2 linked regions of the Notamacropus eugenii genome follow. The protein of the gene in region 2 interacts with the protein of the main gene of each other region in a biochemical or structural test. Links are inferred from orthologs where the notes say so. Each region holds a gene or a part of one and is shown on either strand. Other genes may lie near its edges. The genes, in order: CACNB4 and CACNA1A.

The links.
Region 1: the proteins of CACNA1A (region 2) and CACNB4 form a complex in vitro, tested with the Homo sapiens proteins (2 studies listed by BioGRID). The link is inferred for Notamacropus eugenii from reciprocal best matches to the Homo sapiens genes CACNA1A and CACNB4.

Annotation. Positions count from the first base shown.
Region 1 is NC_092876.1:209,345,112-209,360,783, reverse strand, and holds the start of CACNB4 (voltage-dependent L-type calcium channel subunit beta-4), read left to right. Parts: upstream 1-8,823; 5' UTR 8,824-9,500; coding exon 9,501-9,578; intron 9,579-9,632; exon of another isoform or gene 9,633-9,876; coding exon of another isoform or gene 9,877-9,885; intron 9,886-9,893; exon of another isoform or gene 9,894-10,166; coding exon 10,167-10,250; exon of another isoform or gene 10,251-10,285; intron 10,286-15,672. Other genes in the region: STAM2 (signal transducing adapter molecule 2), read left to right, coding at 2,730-2,958. UniProt on the Homo sapiens protein: The beta subunit of voltage-dependent calcium channels contributes to the function of the calcium channel by increasing peak calcium current, shifting the voltage dependencies of activation and inactivation, modulating G protein inhibition and controlling the alpha-1 subunit membrane targeting.
Region 2 is NC_092875.1:77,441,720-77,457,218, reverse strand, and holds the start of CACNA1A (voltage-dependent P/Q-type calcium channel subunit alpha-1A), read right to left. Parts: upstream 5,730-15,499; 5' UTR 5,455-5,729; coding exon 5,162-5,454; intron 1-5,161.

The sequences.
Region 1 (15,672 bases), on a different chromosome or scaffold from region 2:
AAAGTAGTTAAACCACTTTTTCTTCTATTTCAATTCAAATTTCTTCATTTTTGTAGGCAAAATTTGGGGTAGATAAATTTTCCTTCCATGTACAGTACCCTAAAAATCAATAAGTCTTGATGCCTTAAATTAGAGAATTGCCTAAACTATTACCAAAATGTTAATTGTGTTGTCATTTGTGCAGATTATCTTGTGATTCTTTCCCTTAAGTTCTGTAATACTATATCCCCTGATTATTTTAAATTACTTTTTGGTGTTACTTTAAATACTCCAGTGCCTATTTGGGATTGCGTCTAAGATGAACTTTCATAATATTGGGCAGCACTGCAAACCTTCTGAAATGCATAAATAAATTGAAGTACAACCAGTAGTAGAGAAAACCTATTTTGGTTTTAGAATTTTTCATTTATCATGGGCATTCCTCAAGTCAGCACATCCAATCATAATCTTTCTACTGAGCTACAGCCCCAGCAATTGCCCACTGAACATCTCCCCTGGGACATCCCATAGGATCTAAAAGTCAGCATGTACAAATTGGAGCTTAGTATATTTTCTGCCAAACCCATGCTTTTTCCACACTTCCCTGTTTGCTTTGGGAGGGCCATTACACACTAATCATCTCATAGTAGAATTATCTTCAGCTCTTCGTTATCCAGTAGTTTTCTTACGGAGTCAGGTGACAAGTCTCATTAACATCTGCTGCATTCATACCCCTTCTCACCTCACACACACAGTCTCTGCCCTACCACAATAACATTTTAATTGGCTTCTCTACTTTCAGTCTTTCACCTTTGTAATCTGTGTGTATACACATAGCTCCCATGTTAAAATAACCCAAACACAGATCTGATATCATTCCTCCATCTGTCCCCAATTCAGAAAGCTACACTGACTCCCAATTGCTTCTAAAATTAAACAGAAAAATCAGCTTGGCATTTAAAGGCCTCCACAATCTGACTCCTGTTTACCTTTCTTGTCTTACTGCATACTATCTGTTGTGGTCAGACTGGCCTTTTAGCCATTTTTCTGGTACACAGTGTTCTTTTCCTGCCTTTGTGCCTTTGCATATGTGGGTTACTATGCACTGCTAGAATCCCTAACATCTTTTAAAGCACAGCTCAGGTATCATCTTCTTCATAACACCGTTATTGATTTCCCTTTCTCCCTTCCACCCCCCCCCCCCCAATGTTAACACTCTCTCCCTCTGGGGAAATTACTTTGTATTTAGTGAAGTATATATTGTATTTACTTTGTATTTGTATTTACAAAAGTATATATTATATCCTGCTTCATATGTCACATCCTCAGGAGAACATAAGCTACATGAGGACAGGGACATTTTGTCTGTCTCCTTAGAAACTTGTACAGTGCCTTGCTCATAAAAGGCCCCTAATAACTGCCTTTGTTGAAGTGAATTGTGAAATTGATTTAATATATTGAACAACTACTGTATCCACAGTATTGTACTAGTTGCTGTTGGGATAGCAAGGCTGTGTCACATGTTAGTCTCTGCCCACAGTTTATATTTGGGAGATTAGACCTGTACCTGTAACTATAATAATATAACATAAATTGTGATAAGTGCTACTGAACTGATACTGAAAAAAAGTGCTCCGATAGGTCAAAAGGAGAGATTACTTTCTTGGGTTGGGTGGGGGAGAAGTATTCTCAAAGGACAAAATGTGGAGTAATGGAAAGACCATAAAACTATACAAAATCAAAGTCCTTGGGGCTGATACTGACTCTGCCTTTTACTAGTTGTGGACTTGGGCAAGCCATATTACGTTTTTGGAGCTCACATCCATCTATGACCTGACAAGAGTTGGACTAGATCTCTAAAGTCCTAGTTCTTAACAGGGGTGGTTCTATGAAGTATGAAGCCCATATTCTAGTTTTAGGGGTGATTTTTTTTTTTTATCAGATTTCTTTTTTGTATCACTGTATGATGTAGTCCCCTGGCCATGGCCATCCTTAGAAGATTGTGAAACTTAGTCCTGTCTTAAGTAGTTTGGTGCTGGGAACAGGTATTAAAACCTTTGTCTACCACAGAAAACATTTATATGCCAGAGAAATAGAGATAAAGTAGGTATGGGGGAGGCTCTTCATGAGCTGATTGTATTTAAGATCTTAAGGCCTTTTTTTTTTAAAGCCACTTCCTCCTCCTGAGACCAAAATCAGAGCTAATAGAATGATACTGTAGTTGCATGGCTTGGCTTTCTAAGTTATTAAGATCATTGGAGGAAAAAAAATTACATATCTTTTGTCTTTTCTTAATTCCTTTTTTTCCTTTTGCATATTAAAATTTGTGTTTTTAGTAACTGGCATCCAGAATAAAGAGTCCATTGTTCTCATATAGGAATAATTAACTTTTAGAACAAAATGCTTGTTGAGTTTTGAAAGCTAAATCATTGAAAAGTAACAATGAGTGCTTAAATTAGAAGAAACTTCAGAGGTTATTGGAAAACATCTACCTAGTCCATCCCCTCATTATAGTTGTGAAAACTGAGGTCTTGAAAAGGGAAGTGATTTGTCCAAGCCCACAGCTTTTGGATATCTGAACTGGCAGTGAAAGCCAGGTCTCCTGACACCGTCCAATGCTCTGTTTCTATACCATACTGCAAAATGATAGACTATTTTGTTAAAATGATCTTTCTGCCTGGAATTTTGTATAAGAAAACAACTTGTTCTTAGTGAAATAGTTAATTGTTTTTTTTCTGCTTTGTTTTCAGTACTGGAGTAGATACAGTTTCCAATCCCAGATATATGAACCAGAACTCTACCCTTCAATCAGCTAGTCTTCCAGCTTCTTACACACAGCAGATGGGAATGTCTGTGGATATGTCATCTTATCAGAACACTACATCCAGTTTGCCTCAAGTAGCAGGCTTGCCTGTGACAGTTCCAGCTCATTCAGTTGCACAACAGCAAACAAATTATCATCAGCAACCTCTCCTTTAAAAAGCAGATCAGGCATAGTCTTGAAAACATTCATAAGTATGTTGCTCAACCCTTGTGATTTGAGTCATCTAAGAATGATATAAAAATACAACCATTTTTCTCTCAACTCAGAAGGACCATGAGTAAAGCACAAAAATCTCAGTTACTTCCCCACCCCCCTGACATGAAGCAATTTTTGAAGTACTGGTTATGTTAGACTATTTTTTCAGAGGTGGCTTAAAGATAATTTGAGTTAGTTTACTCTAGCTTAAAGAGTTTCATATAGATTTTCTTAACAAGTACTGAGTAGTCTTTTGAACATTAGCCAGTCTTTTTTTTTTCTTCTTCTAGCATTGTCAGTCTGACATGCTTAAAAAAATGCTTTCTTTTCAAAATGTACTTGGGAGGCTACTTTGATCTATTTAAATAATATTTTGTTTGAGTATTGTGGTTTAGCATTTTCCACATTCTTACTCCAAAATTTGAACATCTTTTCATTGAAAGCATCTGCCTTAGCTACTTGGCAGTTTTGTTTGCGCTACTGAAAATTTGGCTTTGACTGTACTAGTAACATCATTATCTGTTGAAGCAAACCTGAATTGGGAGATGAAAATTGTTTTACAGTATGAGGACCATTGTAAATAGAAAAATGTGAAAGGAACACTTAGTTCTGAAGAACAGCCCTACCAACAGTAGGCTAAAGAGTACCCCTAAATCTTGTTTCTCTTTGCTAGGGAAAAGCATTTAATTTCCTCCTGGGTCCATAGAGTGGAGAATTGTCATAATGGCTTTTTTTGGCCAATAAAGCCATTCCCTCACGAAGACCTTACCTAATTTTATGCCCTCTCTGCCGTATGGATTTCTCTTGCATGTTAAGTGTCCGTAATTCTTTAAAAGGAGCTTGACATGGATTAGAAACTTCTCATGGAGAGAAAATCAGGCTCCCTGATAACTATCTTGGTGTCAAGGGACTCTAATCATTTGAAGTGTTGTATGTTAAGCATGGCATGTGCCCTCTGTTTAATGTGTTTTAACCTTTCAAAATGTGGTTTAAGTATCATCGTTATGTCACTTTTGTCACCCCATTAAAATATTGGATGTTACTTTTAATTCATCATTCTGAACACATGGAGTGATAGCATGCAGTGGATTAACAAATAAACTACCAAGACAGTTTTCTGGAAACCTAAATTTTAGGTGGTTTTATAGTGTTCGTAGTTCCTATAGACTATAGGAGTTGGGTAATATATTTCAAGAACGTGGGGGTTTTTGTCCCTTCTGAAAATTTGCACACTACTTTCTCATTTAACAGCTTCTTCACATGACACAAAATAGAAAATAACCATAAATATGATTATGAATAACTGATGTTTACACTGGGGAAAAATAATGGTCATAACTTTAGTAATAAAAATAGTTATTTGCATGGAAACAAGATTTCTATATGTGATTTTTACATACATAATCCTTTCTACCAAAAATTATTTGGTGGTAATTCACCAAACTTTCTTGTTGTTGTTTATCTAGCTAAAGGAATTATTTAGTAATGTGCTCCTTTTTCAAAATGACTATATCCTGGAACAAAAGAGATCAATACTTGGTTTACATTCAGAGGGAAACAAAAAAGGCAAATTAGTATTTGAAAGCCTACTCCAAATCATTGTCTTATTTTAGGTACACATAACTGGAAAGAAATGTTCAGTGTTTGTTGCCCCGTATTCTGACTTTCGTTCCATATTTTCTGTTCATGTGAAGTTAAATATATGTGTGTATCTACACACACGTATCCTAAAATGGCACCTTAACTTTTTGTTAACATTTTTTCTGTTTAAAAAAAAATAAACAGTTTATTTGAAAAGCTGCTGTTCTTAATATTTACTATTTGAAAACATGGAAGAACTTATACTTTTTCCAAACAATATTTAATAAAAGTTATTTTAGTGTTTATGTGTAAGTTCTTCATGTATGATTGTAATTTGGAATATCTGAATAAAGTTTAATCGAATATAGTCTTTGAGCCAGTATAGATACTACCCTATCCATTAAATTTGGATCATTCAAGTAAGAATTAAACTAATGCAGTTTTGGACTAATTTAGTTCTTTATAACATGTGAAATGTATATAAATATTGTATATGGGCATTTGTCTGTGGGATTTTATACATGTGCAGATGTATTTACTTTCTCTTAAATTAAAAATAACAATTTTATATTTGGCATACCATTTCTTTTCTTATAATGTGTATTGTGTAAATCCACTTATCCAGTTTGTAGATAGTGTAAAAAAAGTTATTGTATCTGTCTTTACATGCTTTTTTGGTGTTTATAGGCGTTATAGGGATTTTTCCCCTTCACGATCTTATGTATTGTATTTATTTTAAGTCCTGTTCATAATTAAATGTTTGCTGCCAAAGGAATTGTCTAACTTAAGATTTCTACATTAAGTACATACCTACTGTTTTATATCAGGAGTAAATAAATCGCTTCTGCTTTTTCATATGCAACCTTGTTACATTAGAAAGAATTCCTGAAACTTTATAATAAAATTAATTTTATTAATGTATATAATTTGTTCCTGGGTGTTAAAATAACTAAAACTGGGTATGTGTTCTTCCATTTTGGATAATTTGAAACCTGAAAATTTTAACTTGGCAGTTTATACAATTACCTAAACATATGTGATATTCCGTTTTTAACTTCAAGTATAAGTCAATTTATACTATTTGGCCACTTGTATCATACGTATTCTAGACAGAAATTCTAGTAATCAGATTTTTTGAGGCCACTTAATTAGAAAACTATCATTTAAAAGCTGTGGACTTTTTTTTTCTGTTTCTTAGTTGTTGCTTATTAAGGGACATAAATTTGAAAAGCTCCTGACAACGAAGGGAGTAATTCTTGACAATGTCGTTTTGGTGGGAAAGCTTATTTTTACAAATAATAAAACTGATCTGCCATCATTTGCTTTTGACAGAAGGGCGTTTTCCTGATGTTTCCTTGCACTAATACATTAGTAGTGTGTAATGGGATGAGGGCTGTGGAGGGGGTTCTGTATTACTTTATTAACTGAAAGTCAGCATATTTTCCCCCTGTTTGGGAAGTGAAGCATAAGAAAAATGGTTTATATGAATTTAGGTAAGCTAAATTTGAATTTGAAAATTATCAAACTTGAAGATTTAGAAAAAGAATGGTGATATTGCTCACATTTTATAGCATCTGTTTAGAGGACCCTTTGTTCCAGGTACCTCCACACCATTTGTTTCTTTTTTTAACATACCAAGAGGTTTGCATTTTTTTTTTTAGGTTTTTTATTTTAGTTACAGGAAGCAACCTACTCTGTTATTTTTGCTAACAGGAAAAAGATGACATTCAATTCAGCATTCATTTGCTGTTAATTATTAAACAGATACTGGACACTGAAGTAGAAAATGAAATAGCCCTGCCTTCAAAGAGCTTAATTCTACTCAGGGAGAACAGCATATACAGAAGTACATGCAAAATATATACTGTACCATTTAACTGTCCCTAATGACATACAGTTTACCTTAAAAAAGTACGACCACTTCAGAGTTAATAAGCAGAAATATATCAGGACTATTTTGACCCTTACCACAAAGAGTATATTTAGTGATGAGAATGATTTAAACAGTGAAAAAAGATGGTAAGTCATAAAATCTCTTACTTATTGTCTGCCTATCCTTTGCCACTGATCCATATCTTGTCTCCCTAACTAGTCTGTAAACTCTCTGAGATCAGGGAAGATGTCTCATGATACTGTTTGCCCAGGGTCAAAAATCAGTCAACAAGCATTTAAGTGGCTATTAAGTGCCAGGCACAGGGGTTGGTGATACAAATATGAAAGATGAAAGTCTTCCTCATAAGGAGCTTCTAATGAGGGAGGCAACAAGTACACATATAAGTATTTACAGAATAAATATAAAGAGAATAAAAGCAAAGTGTTTAAATACAAGGTAGTATAGAAAGAAGGTACCAGGAGTTGGGGGAAACGTCAGGAAGACTTCTTTGTAGAAGGTAGTGCTTGAGAGGAGTCTTCAAGGTGCAGAGGGATCCTTTGAGGTGAACCAGTATTTCAGGCATGGGGAATGGCACCTGTGAAGGCGTAGAGATGAGAGGTAGAATGTTGAGTGTCCAGAGAAACTCAGATCACCTGGGGTCTTGGGAAGGGGAAGAAATGCTCAATAAGGCTGGAAAGGTAGGTGGTTGTCAGGTTGTGCAAGGCTTTAAAAGCTAAATAGGGGAGCTGATATTTGATGCTAAAGGCAATAGGGAGCCATCAGAGTTGATTGAGTAGGAGAGTGACATGACTAGATTTGTTCTAAAGGAAAGTCACTTGGGCAGTTCTAAATTCTATGTGACTTCTCAATAAATAGTCACACAATTCAACAAATAGACACACAGTGCACACACAAGCAGCTTGGAGTAGTGGATACAGAATCTCATGTGAGGAAGATCCATCTGCCTTTGATACAGTTGTGTGACCCTGAATAAGTCATTTAACTTTCAGTGACTCAGGCAGCTCTCAAAGACTGTGATAAGTATTGAGAGTTTTCTCACAAGCAGATTCCCATAAATGAAATCACATTTATACATATTAATCACCATCCATATCCCGAATAATTTGTTACTAAGCTGTGAATTATGTTACTGTAATGAAGATTTGGTACATGCTGAGGCATTCACTAAGACTTTGTCACACTGTGTTGATGAAATTGGGGGTCATTAAATTACATTATAGTAAGCGATCCCACTGTAATGCAAAGAGAAAATATGCTTTTTTTTTAAAGGAACCTGGAGCCCTACTTTCTAGTTATGGATCTCCCACTAACTAGCTGTGTAACCTTGGATAAATCAATAAACTTCTGTAGACCTTAATCTCATCTGTAACATGAGGGATGCCCCATACCTAGTGTTTAGGTGGATAGAGTACCAGGCCTGAGGTCAGGAAGACTCATCTTCCTGAATTCAAATCTGACCTCAGACATTTACTAGCTGTTTAATCCTGGGCAAGTCACTTAACCCTGTTCGCCTCAGTTTCTTCATCTGTAAAATGAAGAGAAGGAAATGGCAAAGCACTCTAGAATCTGCCACTAAAACCCTAAATGGGGTCATGAGTTGGTGATGACTGAAAGGACTGAATAACAAGAAGTTCCTCTCCTCCCTTTGATACCCTGTGGCTCTGACTATTCAGGTAGACTAGGGTAATAGGAAGATATAGGAATGGACAGACAGATAATATGTGTAATTTGATCCATCAGTATAGCTACACAATTGTTAAAAAAAAAAAATGAAACAGTAATTCCATCAAGAAATCACAGATGGCAAGGTGAACAGTGAGAGCAAAGATGGAGTGGGTTAGTGATCTGAGCTACTATGTCTGCTTTAATGGATTTCCTATGTAATATTTATAGATTTGCAAGTCTATGAGAAAACAGAGCACGCAAAAAAAAAAATGTCTGGCTTTTTGTTACTTCTTTTTCTCTCCTTAGGATCCCTAGTTTATCTCCTTGCTTCCCACAGTTGCTAAGCATGTCGCCGCCTCCAATGCTTTTAATTTTAAGTAAAGCACAATTCTTTGTGCTTTGGGGACTAATTCAAGAATTAGACACTTAAAGGTTGCATATGCATTTTAGATAATTCTACACATTAGAAAATGGCCATCCTTGCATATAGTACACAAAGGCATGTGGCCAAGTGTTACTTTAGCTGGTTGAACATGACCTTCAAAACTCCTAGGACAACATGGTCTCATGCAGGGTTGGCTTCCCCATACAGGCTTAGGCTGGCAGCTTGTTCCATTGTTGCTTACTATGTTGAGTGACTTTTGGCTAGCAAGCCAGGCTTGCAAAAACAAAACAAATCAGTCAGACAAAAAAAAAATACACAAAAATCCATGCATCAGCAGAAAAGGCTGACGAGTGAAATCAGAGAAATCTTTTCCCCTTTTATACTTTCTGTATAGCAGACCACACACACACACACACACACACACACACACACACACACCTTTGCTCTCTCAGCTGTGTGCTACACTGCACCAGTCTCTATCTCTAAGTCCCTGATTCATGAAATATGTCTCCTTTGTCTCTCATGTAAAATTGTGCAGTATTTTTATCTCCCTCCCCCAACTCCATCTTCTGGAAAGCTCGGTTGTGCGGGTGGAGGTGGGGGGAGTCTGAACCTTTTTTTTTCCTGTAGGATCAGGCAGCAAAATCCTTGATGAAACTCCCTTCCCCTCTCCCTCTTCCCAACACATTGTGCCTCGAGTTTGTGCCACTTTCACCAGAGCCCAGCTGGCTTGGTGTGGGAGAAAGTGATTCTGTAGCTTTAAGGAGCTGCTCGAGCAAAGGTACCCCCGGAGGCGGGAGCCACAGCCCCGCGGGCAGGCTGGCGGGCAGGCTGGCAGGCAGGCTGGCAGCAGTGGTTGCTCTGGCTGCCGCCGCCGCTGCGCCCAGGGAAGTCACTACCCTCCTCTTCAGGTCTTGCCCCTGCCAAGCCCGCTGGCCAGAGTGAGTAGGGGCAGGCAGGCCATGCAGCTTTAAACCATGTCTCAGCTCTCGTCGTCGTCGTCCTCCTACACCCAGAGCGGGTCTGCAGACGGGCGGCACTCCCCCGGCTCGCAGGTACCTCCTCCTTCGCAAGCTTTCGGAACCACCTCCATCTGCTTCTTGGCATGCAGTACCCCAAGTCCTGCGAAGCAGCAGCAGCAGCAGCAGCCTCCGCTCCCTACCTCCTCTTTTGCCTCCTCCCCCTTTTCTCTTTCTCCTCCCTCTCTTCTCCCCTCCTTACCTTCTTCCCTCCCTCCCTCCTCCTCCTCCTTCTTTTCCTTCTCTCAGTCTCTCGCTCCAGCTAGAGGAGCCGGCTGGCCTCCCCCTGTCCGATGCTGGGAGCTCCTGAACCAGCTCCTTCGAATCTTTGTTAATGGATGTGGTGGGTGTTTGTGGTCCCCTTTTTCGTGTGGGGTGTGTGTGTGTGTGTGTGTGTGTGTGTGTGTGTGTGTGTGTGTGTGTGTGTGTGTGTGTGTGTGTGTGTTTCTTGGGGGGATACTTGGGCTCCGGGGTTGGGACCCGGAGCTGCCTGGGGCTGGTGCGGATTGGATGAATGAATGGTCAGCCCTCTCACTCCTTGGCCGGTGACCCTGCTGCTTTAGCCGCAGGTCCCTTTCCTAACCCAAGCCCTCACCCTCTTTTCTCTTACCTTGTCGAGTTCAGGTGGCCAGAGGCACCACGACCCGGAGGAGCAGGTTGAAGCGATCCGATGGCAGTACCACTTCGACCAGTTTCATCCTTAGACAGGTAGGAAAGAAGCGGGAAGGAGGGAGAGGAGGAGGAGAAGAAAGAGAACGAGGAGGAGGAGAAAGAGGAGGGAGAGAGAAGGCGAGAAAGAGGGAGCAGTGCTCCCGGCCCGGCAGTCGGGGCTCTCCAAACGGGGCGGGGGCGGGCTCCGAAGTGGAAGCCTCGCGGCCGCCTCCACGTGTAGGAAGGTGGCTGTCGGTCCTTCCCGCCCCCCCCAGGCAGACAACACAAACACACGCCCGCCTGGGGCTGGAGCTGTTTGGTTCTTTCTGGATTGGCTTTTGGAACTTCTCGTTCTCTTTTCCTTCTGCGATTCGCAATGTCTCCCCCTCCTCACTTCTCTCCCCAGTCCAATTCTTGTATCTTACGGTTTCAGGGAAGAATGTTTCTAATTCGGGAACTACATTTAGTCCACACTAGAGTTAGTTTTGTGTGTCGAAAGAGAAAGAGTTCAAAGGCTCAGGAAAGAAGGCAATTGAATGTTTTGAGGACTGTGAGCCCCAGAACTGGAAGAGTTTCTGTCTTCTCTTGGGTTTGGAAAAGCATCTTCGGAGGATGTGACCTCCCTTGACATTCAGAAAACAGTTGTGGACAGGGACCTCTTCTGATTTGGGTCATAGGCAGTCATCTGGGATGCTGAGGGATGTCTTTCATTTAGACCACTCAACCTAGGTCATGAGGGAGAACCAGAGAAGCTAATTTTCCTGAAAGTTTGTTCTCAGTTTAGGAAAGATTCTTTGCTCCCTTTTACTTAAAAAAAGGTTTTCAAATCTGGATAAAATTGTAGTAGGAGAAATCCGACGGACAGTTATCTTATTGATTAGAGTTTCTATTAGTACCTCTTGTCTTTTGGAATTGGAGTATGGACTGGGTTTATGATGTTTGTTATTGCCAGGGAAAATGAATGTTTAGAGTTTTTACTTTGGAGAACTGTCACTGTGTTCATTTTTATCATAAATATGTGGCAAATGAAACACTCCAGGAATGCCACATTTTTTGAAGAGACCATGTAAAGGTGAGTCACCTTGACTCCAGTGTAGCAGCTTTCATGATGTGTGCTCTGGAGTTACTGCAGGAATCTGGTCATCAGCACGAGGAGGCTCTTTATCCGTTGCTCTGCTGTGGATTGCTGACATGACCTTGGGAAGTTACATTTCCCCTTGGTCACTCAGTTTCTTGTGTGATGTGTTTCTAACTTAAGATTGTCAGTCAATTTCATTTTTTTAAAATTAGTCTCAAGTTGAAGGTGGCTGATCAACATTGCATACGTATGATATTAAAAAAATCAAATGGAAACTTTATCCTAAAGGTCATGTTTGAGGTTTATTTACAGATTACTTAAGTGTAACGCATCTGTTTTCTCAGAAACAGAGGTTTTATCATTCCACCATTTTTTAGCATTTAGATGTGCATTATGAGTCCTCAGTAGGTAAATACATTTTGGATTCACTTAGATATTTTCTCATTTTCATCATTTATTTATAAAAAAACGTAAATGTTCATTTTTGGAAAGAATTTGAGCGTTGAAAATATTTTGGTGCTTTCTGGTATTATTTTGTAGATGCCTATTTTTAGGAGTGTTTTATTGATGCAAACTGTTGGAAGCCCTAATTATACATCAGTGATACCTCTTTCATATTACCATGGCATCCCATGAACAATTTGGCTCAAACTTTCCTTTTTATCTGTATCTCGACTTCACTCACCCATAATTCTTCTATTGCAAGCTGCTGATTATAGCACAAAGATCAATATTCTTTCTCTGCTTCTGGTTTTCTCCCCCAAGTTTATTTAAAAAATACAAACAAACCCAAACTGCTGCTTATCAAATGATTTTCAGGCTAATTTTATCTGATATACATTTTATATTTCTGTCAAAGATATTTCAGCTATCTTTCTGGAAAAAGACTTTGTTGGTTTAGTAAAATGGACTCTTTAAATCTAGAAGATATTTGTGTTAGCTTGAAAAACCAAGAAAAAAATAGAAAACTTGATTCACAAGAGATTATTTATCCATTCTTCTGATTTATTTTCTGCTCAGCATAGCTATGCCTACCAAAATGGCTGCAAGACAAAAGCTGAGAAATTTCATATTTCTTCAGAAGAGACCAAAAATTGTGACATGAATTTGCCTTGACCTTATGGAATTAGACTGAGCAGTGGCCCTACCAAATAACAAGTATCTTATTAAAAGACCATGTGCCAGTTCCTAGAAAACATTAGTTACTTTAGTACATTTGTTGAATGACTGAATTCTTAGTATTTGAATTCTTGAAACACTGGGAGTAATGAGATTTTTTTGGTGGAAATTCCATGAACTTTGTGTAATATGCACAGAAAAGACCTTGCTAATGTTGAAAACAACACTGCTTCTTCTGCTGCTTTGGGCTTTTTGGCTTATGAAGTAACTTTCCCCTAAAGAACTCAGGTATGATTAAGACTCTTAGAATCAAAATGTAAAGGTTCTATGTAGTCTGTGTTTCCATCTAGAGATCTATTCAATTGTGTCTGCTTTAAGTTCAAGCCAGTTCTTCACTGCTGAGAGAATGGAGTTGGCAGTGAGGAATGGAGAATGACCTTCTGGGAATGAAGTTGAGATTACTTGATGGGAAGCCCTCATCAAATAAAATCTCTTTTTCTTATGCCTGTTGTAAAAACTAAGTGTATGTGTGTAAATGTGTATATAGCACAGAGACCTGAAAACATTCACAGAATCAATTAAAGAATTGCAGTGACCATCTTTTAGTTTTTGTAGGATCTCCTAAGTGTGCTTTCCCAAATTCCCTAAGGTAATATTGACTTTGTTTCCTGTTTTGTTACAACACCAGGAGTCAACTCTGAGTTCTGGAATTTGGGAATAGTTTTCTTTCAGAGAGAATCTTGCAAAGAATCCAAAGGAAAGCTTGCAAAAGATTTCTTTTTGCAAATGTTGGGAGGATTAATTTTGTGCAGCCTATGAGAGAGAACCCTGCCAAGGTTCCTTAATATAGTGATTTTCAACTTTACTTTGATAATCTGAAATCATTAAATTGCAGAAGGATGGATTAAAATTATTTTTGAGAAGGTGGGGGTTTTCTAACAAGAAGTTTGTCAGATATTAATACTGGATATCTAGGGAAGACTGCGGAATTTTCCTGGAAATCTTTGAAATAGATTGTACAGCTTGACCTAAACACAGAAGAATTAACTTGTTAACTCTTAAGAATTCTTCTAGCATTCTAATTCTGTGATCTAGTTATGACAGGAAGATCATAGGATTTGGACTTTGAAGGCACCTTTGAGGTCATCAAGCTTTACTGCCTTGTTTTAAAGGTGGGGAAAATGCGATCGTCATTCAGCAAGAGTTTTTTAAGCACTTACCATGTACCAATCAATCAATTAATAAACATTTATTAAGCTCCTACTACATTTCAGGTATTGTGTTAAGTGCTGGGGATACAGACTTTTTTTTTTTTTTTAGGAATCACACATGTGAGAAACAGGGAGAAGACCAATTTGACTGGACCCTTGAATAGGGAAAGAGATTAATATATAATGAGGTCAGCTGATGAAATTATTGAGTTTTTCTCGGTCCACTCATATTACTATGGGATTACGAGATAGCTAACACCGCTCCCACTCTAATTGGAAACTATCACATAAAGTTTGTTCCATGACCTAAAAACCCCACAATTTGGAGTGAATGACTTGACTCAAGTTATATAGAAAGTAGTAGAGCCTGGATTTAAACTCAGGTCCTCTCCTTCCAAATTATTGTCTTTTTTTTGAGGTCATGTTGTCAAGGGATAAACTTTAATAGTGTCTGATTTTTAAAAATCTATTTTCTCCCCTGCTCTGAGAGGCAAGCCAGCTAGTAATTACGTAGCAATATGGGTAGTCTAACAAAAACTCAGTAGTAAAATTAAGCAGCTTCCTAATTGACTAAGAATTAAACTGGGATTTTATAATGGACCAATAAATCCAATTCTGAGCACCGATTCTGACCACCTGGGTCAACTCCAGATTTGGAGGCTAGAAGACGCTGTGTTCCCTGGCTTCATGAGGGAGTCTGGTAAGAGTCATAGACCAAGTTAGGCTAGAAGAAATGCAGTTAATTGAATAGAATACATTAGGAAGTTTCCAGTGTCACCTTATCTGGGGCTAAGGTATTTTTTTTTAACTTCTAATTATCTTACACTGGTATAATAGTCCTGAATATGCATGATCTCTTATCCCTTATAAATAAACCTTGGTAAGACCACTCTTGTGATCTGAAGCATGTGATGAACAAGGGTAAGAATAGAAAGGAGTGGATGCCAGCCAGATCCAAGTCCCCATTTGCATTTGCAGATGGGATTGAGTGCAGTGAATATCTGAAATCAAGATGTCAGACATGCTTAGGGGTCAGGAGGCTTTAGGATATATGCTGCCTTGAAAGTTTAGGCTGTAGTGAAAGATAAGTATCCTTAGACTATAAGCTCTTTAAAGAGCGAGGACTGTTTTTTGCCTCTTTATATCCCCAACATTTAGTACTTTGCCTGGCACATAGTAGGCACTTAACCAATATTTATTAAATTGAATAGGACCTTCTTTATGACTTCCAGGGGAAAAAAGATGAATTCCCTGAGAAGTTGACTCAGTTCAGGAAGGCCTAAAGATAACCAATCATATACACTTGGTTTGTTGGGCAGAGCCCAATATAGCATGTGCCTAACTTTGTCGGAACACAATGGTAGTGGGTGAGCCCACCTCTTCTGGTCACTAGAGTTTGATGTCTAGGTAAAATCCTAATATACAATGAAGGTACTGAATCCTTCTGTGCTATAATTTTGATTTAGCATTATAGACAAGTTTCTGATATAAAACAAGAGAATCTAATGTATGTGTGTTTATGCATCTCAGAGGAACTAGAGTTCATCCACAAATTTTAAATCATAATACTAGAATTGGAAGGAATATAGATCATCTACTTCAAACTCATATGAAGAAGCTGAATTCTGGAGACATGGAATGATGTGCTCAGGATGCCATAATCTGATCATTCAAGACATAGCCAAGAAAAGGCCCTGAGACTCTAGACCCCTATTGCCCCCACACTACTTAAATTGTCCTTAAGTAATTACGCATGCATATATACACACTCACACTAAACAAAAGAAAATAGAAAAGAGAGATGGAGCTTATTAAAATTGGGCCCTGGGAATGTATTAATTGAGATGGTTGTTCTAGAGGACATGACATTGATTGGGTAATCAAAAGGCTGTACCTCATTCAACCTATGATTCATTTGGGCAAGTCACTTAGCCTCTCATTTCAGAAGTTCATATATGGATGTATGTATTTTTAAAATTTCTTTGACAGTCACTTAAATATTGTAAATCAGTGGAACATTTTAATGATTCATTTCCATTAGCAGGGCTGGAAGTTTTTACTCCATCTATAA
Region 2 (15,499 bases):
GGTCCAGATGTTGAGAAGCCAAGTTCTCTAGCTGCTTTTCTTATTTCTCATGGTGGCTGTAGCTTTTCTAGTGCAAATCTGGAGATGCCTCCTTCCTCTTCCCCACATCCCCCACCTTTTGCAAAAAGAACAAATGAACTTGTACAGAAAAGTATTGCCTCCTGCCCTCTGGACATTCACTGTCATGGTGTCCCCAAAGCCAAGAAAGTACTCTGGAGCATGAGTGCTCAAGATAAAGAAATGGAATGGAGGTACTAAACCACCTTCAAGAGGGCGAAATGGTCCCCAAATGAAAAATAACAAATCCAAACTCTGGAAAGCTGGCTTCACCACAGAATTATAAATATTTGGCTCTCATGCTTTTTCCAATTTTTGGCATGCCTCTCCCGCTAATTTTTTTTTCCAGTCCATCTTTGGTGTGAGCCTTTTCATCCCCATGAACATCCTACCACCCACAATCCAGTTTCTTTACATTAGGGTCAAGGACTACAATTATTATCAATTTTAGGAAATAATAAATTATCCATGAGCACAACATTCAAAACACTATTTAATTCACAATAGAGGCAGAACTAATTAGCCTAATGTCTGAGAATCTTGTCTACTGCACTGCAATTGTTTAAAAACCATCCATGTCTCCTCTGTACTGATGCAAAGATGCATTTCAGAACCAATTTACTCACTTTCTCCAATTTAACTAGCTAGGACCTAACCCTATCATTGCCATCATTTTAACAAGAGCAGAAAAAAAAAGTCATTTCCCTGACAAAATAGGATAAATTAACTCACTCCTCGTCGCTTTACCTTCTGAATAAGCCAGTCAAGCTAAGTTAAGAAGTTATATAGTTCTGCATCTAATAAAAGAAATTGCATCTACTCTGTACACATCAATAATTCACTAGCAACCTGCGGGCTCCTCTCTCCTTAGAATCACGGATTCTCTCAGATTCCCATTTGGGTCATGAATTCTAATCTATGCTTTTAAAAAAAATGTGCCTTGTAAATTTTGATCAATCAGGCTTCCTAAAAATCCTGGGGTCAACATGTCTAGGGTTCAAAAAGACAGGAGGATCAGTTGAAAAGCCTGCCTGTAGAGAAGGTTGGGGGAAGGGGAAAGGCACAGTTGTTGTCTTCAAGTATTTGAGGGGCAATCATAAGGAAAAAGGACTAGACTTGTTCTGCTTGACTTCAGGGGTCAGGACCAAGAGGAATGGGTGGAAACTGGAAAGAGTTCAATTTAGAATTTAGAAAGGAAAAATTTCCTAACAGAGCTGTACAAAAATCAAATGGGCCGCCTTCAAAAGTCCCCATTACTGCTTGTCGTCAAGTGGGGACCGGATAATGGTTTGTGTGAAATGTTGTAGGGGAGGATTCTTGTTCAGGTATGGCTTGGACTACATGATCTCTGAGCTCCTTTCCAACTCAATTTCTGTGGCTTCCCATGAACATAAAAACCGGAACCACAGGTTCGTTAGTGAAGGGCTCAACTACGTCAAAACACAGATGCCTGAATTTGCCATCCCTTCTAGGGACAAATCCCCCTGACAAGTTCATTTGGAGATCTGCTGGCATCAGCAGACCTAGAAATAGGAAGTGAAGTCTGCTTGCTTTGCTAGGAAATTCAGAGTACAAAGTAGCATGAAAAGGAAGCTCCGGCTCAAAGTTACCAGCTGTATGTTAGTTAGCTGACAGATTTAAACTCTTTGGGAGTCATTGGGGACCAGTATGACCATATTTAAATGTGCGTGCCAATAGATGAAATCTTCATACCAGGGGGATGCAGTTAGCCTACTTCCAGAAAAACAGTATACTCACAGAAATTACTAATGTAAGCAACAATTTTAATGACTTTTATTCATTTCAGTTTTCTACATTTTGAGAAGGGAAGAATTCACTGTTTTACAGGCTTCAGAGGGTGGGAGTGGGGTGCTAAGGGAGTGACAGGAGGCAACGGAAAAGGTAGAGTAATTCTAAGGTTGGCTCCCTGTCTTGGAAAGTGAACTGAACCTGGAATAAGATGAATAAATACCATTCGAATACTGGCTTTGCCACTGACTGGATGTGTGACCTCAGTACAAGTCACGCTACCACCCTCAGCTCCAGTCTCGAAATCAGTAAAATATGGGGATTACTATACCTAGAAGATGATATCTCAGGACCCTTCCCAGCTCTAAGTCTTATGAAAACAACATTCTCTATTGATCAGAGCTTTCTGCAAGCATTTGGACTTAGATTTACATTTCTATCTATAAAAACACACATGTCCTCTTTATTCCACATGTCAGACAGGAACACACTCCCTAGTTGGCTCAGCAGCCCTCCTTAAATGATATTATCAGATAAAAGATCCAACCTAACAAGCAATGACAGGTATCTTTGAGTGGTGGACAAATCCATGTTCCATCCTGGGAACTTCAATGTCTGGAGTCTGCATACAGCCTTGGGTGTCACTGGCTCCTCCATTCTCTGTGCACTGAACACACTGCGGATGATCCTACTTCTCTGTGCCTAGCCACAACCTTTCCTAAAATCATCTCAGGCCTTGGGATTTAGTCCTGGGTGTTCCACTCACAATGCCCTTTTGCTTGGTTAAATCTGTCTGCAAAGGCCTTCCACCTCAGGAGGGGACAGTACTATCTTTACCACTCATGGGCAATTGGATGACACACACAACCTGCCAAGTGAGAATGCAGGAAACCTGATTTTGAGGCTACAAAGAGCTTTAGGACAGCTCACCAAAGCAAACAATGGCATTCCAAATGAAGGCTTGTGCTCTAGCCTTGCACTGCCAAGCTGCAATCCTTCCTTTAGGTAAGCCCTTTGAAGTCCCCCTGTTCAACAGGGATATTTACTAGGTGATCTAGGTTAGGCAGAGGCGAGTTAAGGACACGGGATAAAGCCTCTCATTCCCCTCATTTCCTTTAGCTTCAAAATCAGATTGAAAAAGGGAACTTAAACCATTTTCTTTCCTAAAACATGTCAGTACTGTGCCTGTTCCCAAAGCAATCTTCCAAAAGAGAGGGGATTGCAGGAAAACCACTGTTGCATAGCACATGTTCTAAAAGGCTACAGGATGTAGCTCCTGAAATTCCAGTTGAGTGCTAGCCACCTTTTATTAACCTCCAGCTTCCCAAGTTTGGGTAAGAAAAGTTAAACAGAACTATTATTACTGAGCATATCAGAAATCCCCGGAATGGAAGGGGATTTCCAACCATTTTGACTAGTTAATCCTCAGCCATTATTTGAGGCAATACCTTTCCCATTTTAGGAGGCTCTTCCCTCAGGAACCACTCTGAAGAGCTGTGTAATCATAGTGGTCATTTTCCATCAATAATTTTCATAGAATTCCTATGATTAGGGATGTAATCTCCTCCCTCTTTCTTCCTCCCCCATGACCTCCCAATGAACCAACTAATTCTCACAGCCCTTGGGGTAAATTGAGTTCTCATCAACTTATTCACCTCAAACATTTATGGTCCCCACTAAAATTTCAATCCAAAGAAGTCAGCAGCTCCATTCAATCTCTGGCCCACCAATAACATTCCACCATTGCTAGTAGGCTTCAGGCATATGCCTGTTCCTGGTGGGTGCAAAGCACTCAGCTCTAGGATCAAAATCAAATAGGAATTAAACCCAAAGCTTTTAACCACAAGCAACCACACAGACCATTTTTTATCATAAGAGAATCTAGGAGGAACCTTAAATTTAAAAAAAACCGAACATATTTCAATGAAAATTTAACCATGACAATTCCAGCAAATTTGCTCACATGGAATCTAGGTCATGATTAGGGACCTGCTATGAGACTGAACAGACCCATGCAACAAATCAAAGACCAGTCCCTACATACAGCTCAAGTGATGCTAAACCTTCCTCTAGCCCCATTTCAAGGAGAGACAAGTCCAAAGGGGTCTGATAGACTCTGAGGTACATTTTGATAGAGGATCAATGAAAAAATGTGGTCCCCAACCACTTAGCCTTGAGTTGTTTTTTTTTTTTTAACAAAAATGTATTTATACCTACCAAAGTTGGTGTATCCAAATGGATGGTAATTTTTCAGTTCTCTCACCCAGTCCGCCAGGGCACCTGAAGTAGCATGTATCACTAAGGGAGGGGAGGAGGTCTTAGGAATAAGTAGCTGAGCCCAGGTAGCCTGATTTCTTTTCCCTTCTCTACCACAATGACCCAAACTGGGTTTTTATGGGCAAGTGTAAGAAGATGGCATGTCAGATTTCTGCTGAAGGAGGAAATCTATGCTTGCCCTACCAAGTTGAATGATAGCAACCAACACCTCTAAGGACCATTTTAGTGAATATGTTAACTGCGCATGCAGACATATAGCAGTAACACCCATATACAAATACACTACTTCACAGATCTGGACCAAGCATCTAGGACCATACTATACCATATTAACTGGGTGCAGCAAGAAGTCCTACAATCTCCATGTAGACTTCACATGGTCCCCGGTCTCCCTTCTCCTCCTCTACCTGTACAGGTGCAGTTGGATAAAGCAAGTTTGCCCCCCTGTCCTTTCTCTTCCAACCCAATGAAGACCACAGAAAGTGAAGAGTTCACTTGGTCCTCCTTTGGACTGGCCTACAACTGATGAGCTTCTGGTATCTAACACTCATCAAGGAAAAGAAGAAGCAGAGAGAAAGCACAGCCACTAAGACCCCTCTTTCTTCCTCCAGGCTCCCCTCTCTCAAAGGCTCCTGTCCTGTCTTGGCCAAACGACTCTTTTTTTGAACCGGCCTCAAAGCCCCAGCCAGAGCTCCCCTCTGCAATCTTAGCCCATTGGGTGGAAGAGAGTGCAATGGCCTGGCCTGCCCAGCCCTAATTTGAGTCACTAAGAGTAATCCAGTTCCCCACAGAGCAACATGGTAGCTCCAGCTTTGTGTCTGGTCTGGCAAAACCCTAACCCTCCAAAGCAGCTCCCTCTTATGACCACCCCCTTGTCTTCTTCAGCCCCCAACCCTCTGATTGATTCCCTACTCTTGACTAGGGCCCCAAGCAGGCTGACTCCCGACCCACTGCCCTAGGGCCCTATTCCTTTTTCAAACTAGGGTGGCCATGCAAGTGGTGGGGGCAGGGAGGGCAGGGCAGGAGAAGGGAGAGGAGGTGGGGAGTGGCAGGTGAGAGGGTCTTTGGCAAAGGATATGGCCATTCGGTGATCTTTTTGGCGTATTTCCTCACCACATTGTCCTCGCTGAAGAGGAACAGAGACCGGTTGACCGTGAGGCAGTTCTGTCGGACGGGAATAGGGTTGTACAGAGCCATGGTCCGGGCTCGCTGCGCCATGGATTGCTTGTACATCCTTTGCGCCCCAGGCTGTCCTCCCTGCCGGCTGCCCCCGGCACCCCGGCCGCCTCCACCTCCCACGACTGCCCCAGCGCCTCCTCCGGCGCCTCCTCCCCCGTAGCGGGCTGGCATCTCGTCTCCGAACCGGGCCATCCTGCAAAGAGGAAAGGGCCGAGGGTTACGAGGCTGCGGCGGATGCTGCGGCGGACGCTGCTGCTGCTGCTAAGGCGGCTGCTGCTACTGCTACTGTTGCTGCTAAGGTTGCTGCTGCTGCTGCTGCTGCTGCTGCTGCTACTGCGGAGCAGCTCCACATCCCATCCCATCGGGCGGCGGCGGCTCGGCTCGGCGGGGCGGGCGCTGTGCGGCTCAGGCAGCAGCCCGGCCAGAGCAGGGGCCAGCAGCGGCTCGGGACATCTTCCTTGCTGTTCGGGGGGAGGAGGGGCGGGCAGAGAGGTTGCGGGGGCGGGGCACGGGGGAAAGGGGGGTGGAGGATGGGGTGGGGGAGCAAGACAAGCAACGCAAATAATACCTGATGAAGAAATCAAGGCAAACCTCTCTCCACCCCCTCCAAAAGGTCAATTTCCTCCCAAAAAATCCACCTTAGGTTCCCAGATCCCGCTGCCACATAGACAGTTTTTAAAGAAATGCGGACCCCCCCACCCCCAGCGGCCCCCCAACCGGGAACGCGATGCAACCTTCAATCCCTCCGATGTCCCGGTCAGGACTGCATTTTTCAAAAATGATTTCTCTCTGCAACTGAGTGCGGTTCTATCTTCTCCCGCAAAAAAATCATTTAAAAAAATAAATCAATAAAATGTATTCTTTGCAAAGAAAAGAAAACCCAGCAGATAATACCCTTCCCCCCCCCCCGTTCTATATCACTTGAGCATTTGCTTCTGAGCCCTAAATAAATAAATATATGAAATATATGTAGAAAAAATGAAACAAATTAAAGGGGGAAAGGGGGGGTTGGAAAAGAGGAAAAGAAAAGATTGGGGGGTTGGAGGGGCTGGGGAGGGGGGTGAGGGAAGATGCTCGGAAGAACGCGTTAGGCTCCTTGAAGACGCAGGGCTGTTTGCTCTTCCTGTATCCCCACCCGCGGCTGCTGCTCCTGCCCTGATGTGTGTGCGTGTGCGCGCGCGCGAGCGCGCGTGTGTCTCAATTCGGCATCATCTTAGGGCTTGAATGCAGCAAGGAAATTCGGTAAAATCCGAACCTGAAAGCCCAAGGAGTGTGTGCTATCCACCATCTATAGTCATGACCACTGCTGGGGTGCTGCAATGTCTGGCATTTCCCACCTCCCCTTCCTCCCCGCTAGATTTCTCCTCCTTCTTTTGAATTTGCTAAAATAAGAAGGGGGGATGGATCAAGAGGGAAGGAAAGAGAAAAGAGTGGGAGAAAAAAATGGGAGAAAAGGTCTGAACCACTGGTAGGCTGAGCTATAATGAGCAGCGACTGATCAATTTAATGTGGGAAAGAGCAGCCCAAATATTTAGCACATGATGTCTTGGGGACCAATCATAGGAGGTACTGCACGACCAAACCCACCAGAGTTTGTGGGGGATAGAGATGATGGGGAGGCAGAGGGGAAGTTGGGACAAATTCCCCTCCCCCTCAGAAAGCCTAGAAGGAAGATTTCGTTTCCTCTCTCACCATTTCCCCCAAGAACCCCAGTGGTAGTGGTACAGTGCCGTGCTTCTCCCAGTCCCTGGCCTCAGGAGGGGTGTGGTGGGAGGAGGGCTGAAGAAAGGTGAATCAAGTGTAGAGATACTGCCTGCTTGAGCTCTAAAGAAACTAGGCACATTCCTTGAAAGAAGAATAAAAGCCAAACCCCTCTGGGAAGTCTGGAGTTTCTCTTCCGAACTGAAAAACAATAGCCAACCATAGTCTATTTCTCGATGTCAGATGTTAGCACCCAAGATAGGTAGCAAAGGGACCACCTTTGGGCTATGAGCTGTCTCCGTCAGAGGTCTCCTAGGCAAAGAAATAGGAAATGGTTAATCTCCTAGTAGCCCATAATTAACCTGGTGGCAGCTACCTGGGGGACAGGCCTACTTTGACTTGATATGGACCTCTAGGAAGGGTTGGGAAGTCCTGTCTTTTTTCCTAGAGTCACTAGGGAAGCTTCAAATGTTAGGTCTGGAAGGAATGATCTGGTTACACTCCCTAACTGACTAGAGCAAAGGTGGGGAACCTTCGACCTCAAGGCCACATGTGGCCATCTAGGTCCTCAAGTGCTACCCTTTGACTGAATCCAAACTTCACAAAACAAATAGGTCCTCAAGTGTGGCCTTTAGACCTAATCCAAACTTTTTCAGTCCAAGGGCCACACTTGAGGACCTAGAGGGCCACATATGGCCTTGAGACCACAGGTTTCTCACCCCTGGTCTAGAGGACTTTGGGGGAGGTAAGTTAACTTGCCCAAGGTCAGAAGTTTCAAAGAAAAGTTCATTCTCAACTCACAAGTGTCAGAGCTGGAAGGAGCCTTGGAGACCCCTGAGTCCAACCCACTTGTTTTATAGAGGAAAAAAAACTGATACCCGGAGTGAGTTATTTGCTCAAGGTCATATAGATTGTTAATGACACAGTTAGGATTCAAACTCACATCTTCTGACTTTAAATCCAGTTCGCTTCTCACTATTTTTTTTAACATAAAAAAGTGGGTTTTTTTCTACCTGGGTTCTGCAATTGGGTTATTCTTTTTAGGCTATCTGTCCATAGGGACCCATCTTCCCCAGAGCGATGCAATCAAATTACAGAAAATATTACTAAGCCAAGAGGTAGTTGAAGGAGAACAGGACAGAGAAGGGTGAATCCATGCAATCTTTGTGTGAATATGTGAACATTTAAAAGTATATGGACAAAAATAAATTATTTTTTAGGATTATTAACTGTTTTCCATGATCTCTAATTTTCTCTTCCATGAGCATGTAATGTGAGTTAATGAGAAAAATCACAAGATTTGGAGTTAGACCACCTTTGACATGATATAACAGATTTGGAATCAAAAGAGCTGTGTTCTAATTCTGGCTCTCCTACTTACTGTCTTGTATGATTTTTGGCCAGTAATTTAACCTCTCTGGGTCTCATTTTTCACATTTATGAAATAAGGGGGTTGGACAAGATGACCTTTAAGGTCTCTTCCTAACTATCTATCATCTTAAAGCATCTAGCTCAACTGCCTCTGAGACCTACATATAAAAAGTAACATTCCCAAGGTCATGGTTAACAAATAAAGGCAAGACTGAAAATGTTAAAGGAAGGGGGCAGAAAAAGCAGCTCGTATATATCTGCAGAGCATAGTTATAACTCAAGTATAGAAACTGGGGCTTTGTTCCAGGGCAATGATGGCAGGAGTGAGTCATGGTTCATTCATCCTTAAGGAAGTCCTCTGACCAGCCGCCATATACCTACTTGGGCTCTGAGGACTGCCTCACTGGCAGCTGCACGTCTTCTTCCTCCCTCACTCCTAATGCGGGGCAGCTAGGTGTTACAGTGGATAGAGCACCAGTGCGGAGTCAGGAGGACCTGAGTTCAAATCTCACCTCAGACACTTGACACTCACTAGCTGTGTGACCTTGGCAAGTCACTTAACCCCAATTGCCTCATCCTGGGTCATCTCCAGTCATCCTGATGAATATCTGGTCACCGAATTCAGATGACTCTGGAGGAGAAGTGAGGCTGGTGACCTGCACAGCCTTCCCTCACTCAAAACAAAGTCAAGTGCAAGTCATGTCATCATTTCTCTGATGGCATGGTCTTCTTCGGCAAGGAAGGACGAACACACACTCCTAACGTCCTCCTGGGGAAGGCTGCCCCTTCACAGATATCACTGAAAGTTGATGGGATGGGACTCATGAATGGATTATGTTCTGGAAGGGCATACCTTATTCAAAAAGAACAGAAAATGGAGAAGTATTACATACAAAGAAGATGGAAAAGTAGATACATATATAAAGAACTCACTCATATGTGATTATATATAAAGATTATATATAAAAACTCACATTCATATGTGAGGAAATTCCAGAACCTGATAAGGTAAGCATGATTGAGAGCATTTGGATAAAGAGCAACAGAAGGCGCGAGAAAAGTCATATTATTGTGGGGTTATACCACAGACCACCTGGACAGAAGGATGAAATATTAACAAAGAATTTGGGGTAACAAATGAGCATGGAGACATGAAACAGCACGTTGATGTAAGGTTTCTATAGGTTCAATGCTGAACAATTGCTAGAACTCTTTCTCTGTCAAAAGAGAAGGGGAAATAAGCATTTCTATGCTTACCATATGCCTATCATGTGCCAGGCATGGTGACTTGCCTAGGGTCACATATCTAGTAGGTGTCTGAGACAGGATTTAAACGCAGGTCTTCTTTAGTCCAAGCCCATTGCTCTATCACCACCACAAAAACAGAATACTAACAGATTTTTGATTCTTTTCATATTTTCATTCTTCAAAGAAGAGAGGAAATCATAAGCAACTCTGTTACTCTTGACTGGATTCTAGTCAAAAAGAAAGAACTGGTTGGCTGTTGTCCTTTGTTTTCGAAGAGGATCAAAATGACATCACTGTGCTAGAGTCCCGTTTCAATGTGTCTGACTGTGACTGATCAGACCAATAGGAGCTTGGAATGCTCAGGTTAGGCACAAAAAGTCCCTGTAAACATTTGGGGTGGATACTCTAAATTTTCACATCCTGCATTTCTTTTGAGCTGTTTCCAATCTGCTTTGCTCATAGAGCACAGCACCTTCTCTGGTGAGGGCACACCATGCTGAGCAGTGCTGTGCCAGTGTCTCCCATGTTACACAACCAATTTCAAAGTTCTTAAGGGAGACCTTGAGAGTGTCCTCTTATCTCTTCTTCTGATCACCATATGAAAGCCTGCCTGGTGTAAGTTCTCCATAAAACAGCCTTTTTGGCAAGCGTATATTTTACATTCCAACAATGTGGTCAGTCCATCAGAGTTGTGGTCTTTGAAGCAGAGTTTGAATGCTTGGCATTCTAGTTGAGTAAGGATCTGTGTCTGGTACCTTCTCCTGCCAGGTGATCTTCAGAATCTTCCTAAGACAATTCAAATGGAAGCGATTCAGTTTCCTGACTTGGCACTGGTCAAGGACTGTCTAGGTTTCACAGGCATACAGCAGTGTGGTTTGATGTAGAAAAGACCAGAACCTCCATCTTAGAAACCATTGATAGAGAAAAGGGAAATCTCAGCATCATCTGATATGGACCCTAAATTTTTGAGAGAGCAGATTTCAAAGGGTAGATAAGACTGAACAGGCTAAAATTTGAAAACATAAGACAGACCCAACAGGGCAGGAAAGTCTTGCAAACTGAATGCTGAAGATACAAATGGAATTTTGATAAGAAGGAAAAAGGGGAACTGTCTCAGTGTAGTTGCAAAAGGAACTCATTGAATAAGGCATATCTTTAAGAGCTATGTATAGAAGGTAGAAGTTAGGAAGAGGAAGGGGGAAAGAATAAACTTTTATGAAACACCTTCTATGTGCTAGGCACTCTGCTAAGTGCTTTACAAATATTATCACATTTGACAGGTAACAGAGGGTGGATCTGTTGAATGCAACAGATGTGTTTACATGCCTGCTATATGCAAGACTCTGCGCTAAGCATTGGTGTGTGTGTTGGAAGGAAGATAATGAGTTCCATTTTGGACACATTGAGTATAAGATATCTTTGAGATGTCCATTTTTAGATATGCACAGCTAATAGAACAAATAAATCTGAAAATCTTCTGCATGGAGATGATAATTGAATCCATGGGAATTGATGACATCACCAAGTGAAATCAAATAGAGGGAAAAGAGAAGAGTGCCAAGGATAGAGCCTTGAGGGACATCTACAGTTAGTGGAGATGTCATGTATGAAGATGCGGCAAAGGAGACTGAGAAGGAGCAATCAGAAAGTTAGGACAGAGAGTAATGTCACAAAAACCTAGAGAGAAGAAAGTATCAAAGAGAAGAAAAGTGATTGATAATGAAAAAGAAACAATCCTTGCCCTCAAGAAATTCTACTGCACTAGTAGGGAAAAACAAAAGAGGAGAATGTAAAAGCTGGTCTGAAACCTAACAGGAAAAAACCAAAAAACTGAGACCCTGGCAACTTGTTCCATCACTTCTGACAAATGGAGGGAGAAGAAATAGAAATTGTGTCAGATTTTATATTCTTAGGCTCAAAGATCACCGTGGATGGCAACCGTAGCCATGAAATTAAAAGATGCTTGCTCATTGGAAGGAAAGCTGTGGTGGATCTGGACAGCACACTAAAAAGCAGAGACTTCATGTTGCTGACAAAGGTCCATATAGTCAAAGCTGTGGTTTTTCCAGTAGCAATATATGGCTGTGAGAACTGAACTAGAAGGAAAGCTGAACACTACAGAATTAATGATTTCAAGAAGACTTTTGAGAGTCCCTTGGACAGCAAGGAGATCAAATCAGTCAATACTTTAATTTCGGCTATTCACTAGAAGGACTGAAACTGAAACTTAAGTACTTTGGTCACATAATGAGATGACAGGACTCATTGGAAAGGACTGATGTTGGGAAAGATGGAAGGCAAAAAGAAAAGGGGATGGCAGAGGATGAGAAGGCTAGATAGTGGCATGAAAACAGCAAATGAGCTTGGGGAGACTGTGAGATAGTGGAGGATAGAATGGTTTGATGTGCTCTGGTCCATGGGGTCATGAAGAATTGGACATGACTGAATAACAATAAGACAAGGTAGAGAGTGAAGTGGGCAAAAGAGATAGCAGACAGTTCTTGAGAAATATTTGAGGAGAGAGAGCAAGAGCTAAGGGATGAGGGGTGCACGTAACATTGGTGCTGTACCAATTTTGTGAGGATACCAATAGCCCAAAATGAAGTAAAGGTGGCAATGAATGCTAAGGAAAGCTACACACACACACACACACACACACACACACACACACACACACACACCTTCCCAAATGTACTTATGCAATTGATTTTTTTAACTGAAATACTTTATTTTTATCCCTATTAAATTGTGCCTTACTTGTTTCAGTCATTCTCCTAGCCTGTTGGGATACTTTTTAATTCTCTTACAAAGAGTCATAGATTTAGTGCTGGAAAGGATCATTTTACACATCAGGAAAGTGACTCCCAAAGAGGTCAAGTGAGTTACCCAATATTACTAAGGCAGGAAGCAACAGGGTTAGACTTTGAAACCGGGTCCCTGGACTCTAATTCCTGAGCTCTTTCTTCTGCATTATACTGTCTTTTAACTGTTAGCCATCTCTTCTAGCTTTGTGTTACCTTCACATCTGATGGGCCTTCTATGCTTGCCTTTATCTACTCATTATTGACCAAAAAACGTTCTCACAGTATTAGAAAATGAGACTGGATGCTGGCAAGACCATAGAGTTCAACAGCTCCCTTCCATGATGTTTCATCACTATTATTGAACACCTAATGAATTCAATTGAATTCAACATTTATTAGGCACCCACTATATGCAAGGCCCTGTAGACAAAGGCAGAATACAAAAATCAAAGTCTCTGCCTTCAAGAAACTAATATTCTTCTTGGAGCTGGGGGGAGCAATTATGTCATGGACCCAAATAAGTAAATACATATATACGTACATATATATATATATATATATATAGAGAGAGAGAGAGAGAGAGAGAGAGAGAGAGAGAGAGAGAGTATATATATATATACATATAAAATAGAGAGAGAACATATATAGAGAGGGAGAGGGAGAGGGAGAGGGAGAGAGGGAGGGAAGGAGGGAAGGAGAGAGAGAGAGAAACTTTAAGAAGGATGTCTGGAAAGGCCTCATATAGGAGATGGTGCCTGAGCTGTGTTTTGAAAGAAGCTGGGAATTCTATTATCTAAAGAAGAAGTGAGATAGAGAACTGTCCATGGAAGAAAGCTAGTAGGTCAGTAAGACTGGAATGAAGAGTGCAGAAAGGAAAGTAACAGGAAATTAAGGCTGATAAGAGCCATACTATGGAGGACTTTAAATGCCAGAATAAGGGGCTCATATTTTCTCCCAGAGGCGGTAGAGAACTATTGGCTGTGTGGAGTATAGAGAGGGGTGACTTGATCAGATCTGTTTTAAGAATATAAATTTAGTTTGTTTAATAGGAATATATATGTAGAGTTTTATAGCAGACTGCATGCCATTTTGGGGAGAAGGAAAGGGAAAAAGGGGGGGAGAAAATTTAAAACTTATGGAAATGAATGTTGAAAACTAAAAAGAAATAAAAATCAAAATTTTACAAAGAAAAATAATAAAAGTGTTGACAGATGAAAGAAAAAGAATACAAATTTTGCAGTTGTGTGCAGGTTATATTGGAAAGAGGAGAGATTGGAGGCAGGGAGACCCAAGAGGAGGCTATTTTAAAGGGGTCATGAAGGCATGAATGAATGTCAAAGTTCTGTGAGTGAACTGAAGGGGAGGAAGTTGAGATATGTGAAGGTAAGTTTGAGGAGACGATACAAAGAAAAATGAGGAGTAATCACACAGGAATAAGGAAAACTAGGAGAAAGACATCTTATGAAAACCATGCGAGGAAAAAATATTCAGGTGGAGGTGCCTGGCACGTAGTAAGTGCCTAATAAATGCGGTCTGTCTGTCCATCTCTCTAGTTAGTTAGCTATCTCTCTAATTAGCTGCTGAACCAAAAATGAGAATTCATACAGAAGGCTCCAATAGAGAAACTTAGTCTTTCTCTTTCCTGGTGGTAATAGAAGAAGAAATTGCCTCCAGGTGAAAAAAGAGGTAGCACCAATGATGTATTCCCCTTTCAGGCCAACATGTGGCTGTGAACATATGGCGCCTCTGGTTTTTTTCCCTCTTTATGTTTATTTTTCCCAGCTCTTAGGTGAATGAGTAGTGAGATGGAAAGGATAAGACTGAAGCCATATCAGTCCGTAAATAAATATTTAATAGGTGTTTAATAAAGCATGTGCCAGGCATTGTGCTAAGTACTGGTGATACAAATAAGAAAAAGATAACTCTTCCTCTCAAGGAGCTTTCAAGCTAATGTTTTGTTGTTTAGTTGTTTCCAGTCATGTTTGACTCTTCACAACCCCATTTAGGGTTTTCTTGGCAAAGATACTGAAGTGTTTTATTAGCTCCTTCTCCAGTTCATTTTACAGATGAGGAAACTGAGGCAAACAGGGTTAAATGACAGGGTCACATAGCTAGTAAGTGTCTGAGGCTGGATTTGAATTCAGATCTTCCTTACTCTGGGGTGTGCCACCTAGCTGCCCTTATAATCCAGTAGGGGAAGAAAATACACAAAAGGCAGCTGAAAGGGGGTAAGGCAGGGGAGTCACTAGGGTGACTATGCCTAGGGTGGGGTATGATGTTTGTGGCGTCAGAAACCAGGCAGAGCAGCTCAGAACCTGAAGTTAGCTGGAAAGTTCTCAGCCCTCTATAAAGGAAGGCTTTGGGAGGAGTTTGTTGCTCCACGTCCAGCCCTCCAATCCGAGGGGAGAGGCAGCTGAGGGAGCTGAGGAGGTGTTGAGTATCAGAACTGAGTCAATCTGCATGACGATGAGATTTCAGGTTAGGAGCTCATCCTGGAGGAGGCACGATGTTCCTGGAGTTGAAATCAAGCAAAGCAGCTGATGATAGCTAGAAAATTCTGAGCTCTCCCTAAAAGAAGGCTTTGAGAGGAGTTTTTATTGTTCCACCCTCCAGCCCTTCAATCAGAGGAAAGAGGCAATTGAGGATGATTATGAGCTCCAAAAGATCAGGAGAACTAGTAGAATGAGGAGCCAGCCCTGAGGAACACCTGCTTGATGCAGCCCAGCAGGGGATTGACATAGCAGCCAAGATACGAGCCAAGGAGCTTTGCCTCACCCAGAAGTGAACTCAGTGGTGGGAGGAATGTTTGTAGCAGCCACTTTAAGTTTGAACCCACTCAAAATTGTTTTGCTTGACTATAGATATTTGTAATAGGTTTTGCTTTTTGTGTTTTCTCAATGGAAGAGGAAGGAAGAGGTGGGAAGGAAAGAATTCAGAGCTAAAAAATAAAATAATATTGATTTTTTTAAACAAAAAAAAGGCTGAATTCATTCTTCCTAGGGACTTAGGTGTAGAGAAGAAAGTTTGTCCTGGTTTAGGGAAATGTTTTCGTACTTTGGGTGTTTTGGGGGCATCTAGGTGGTACAGTAGATAAAGTGCTGGACCTGAAGTCA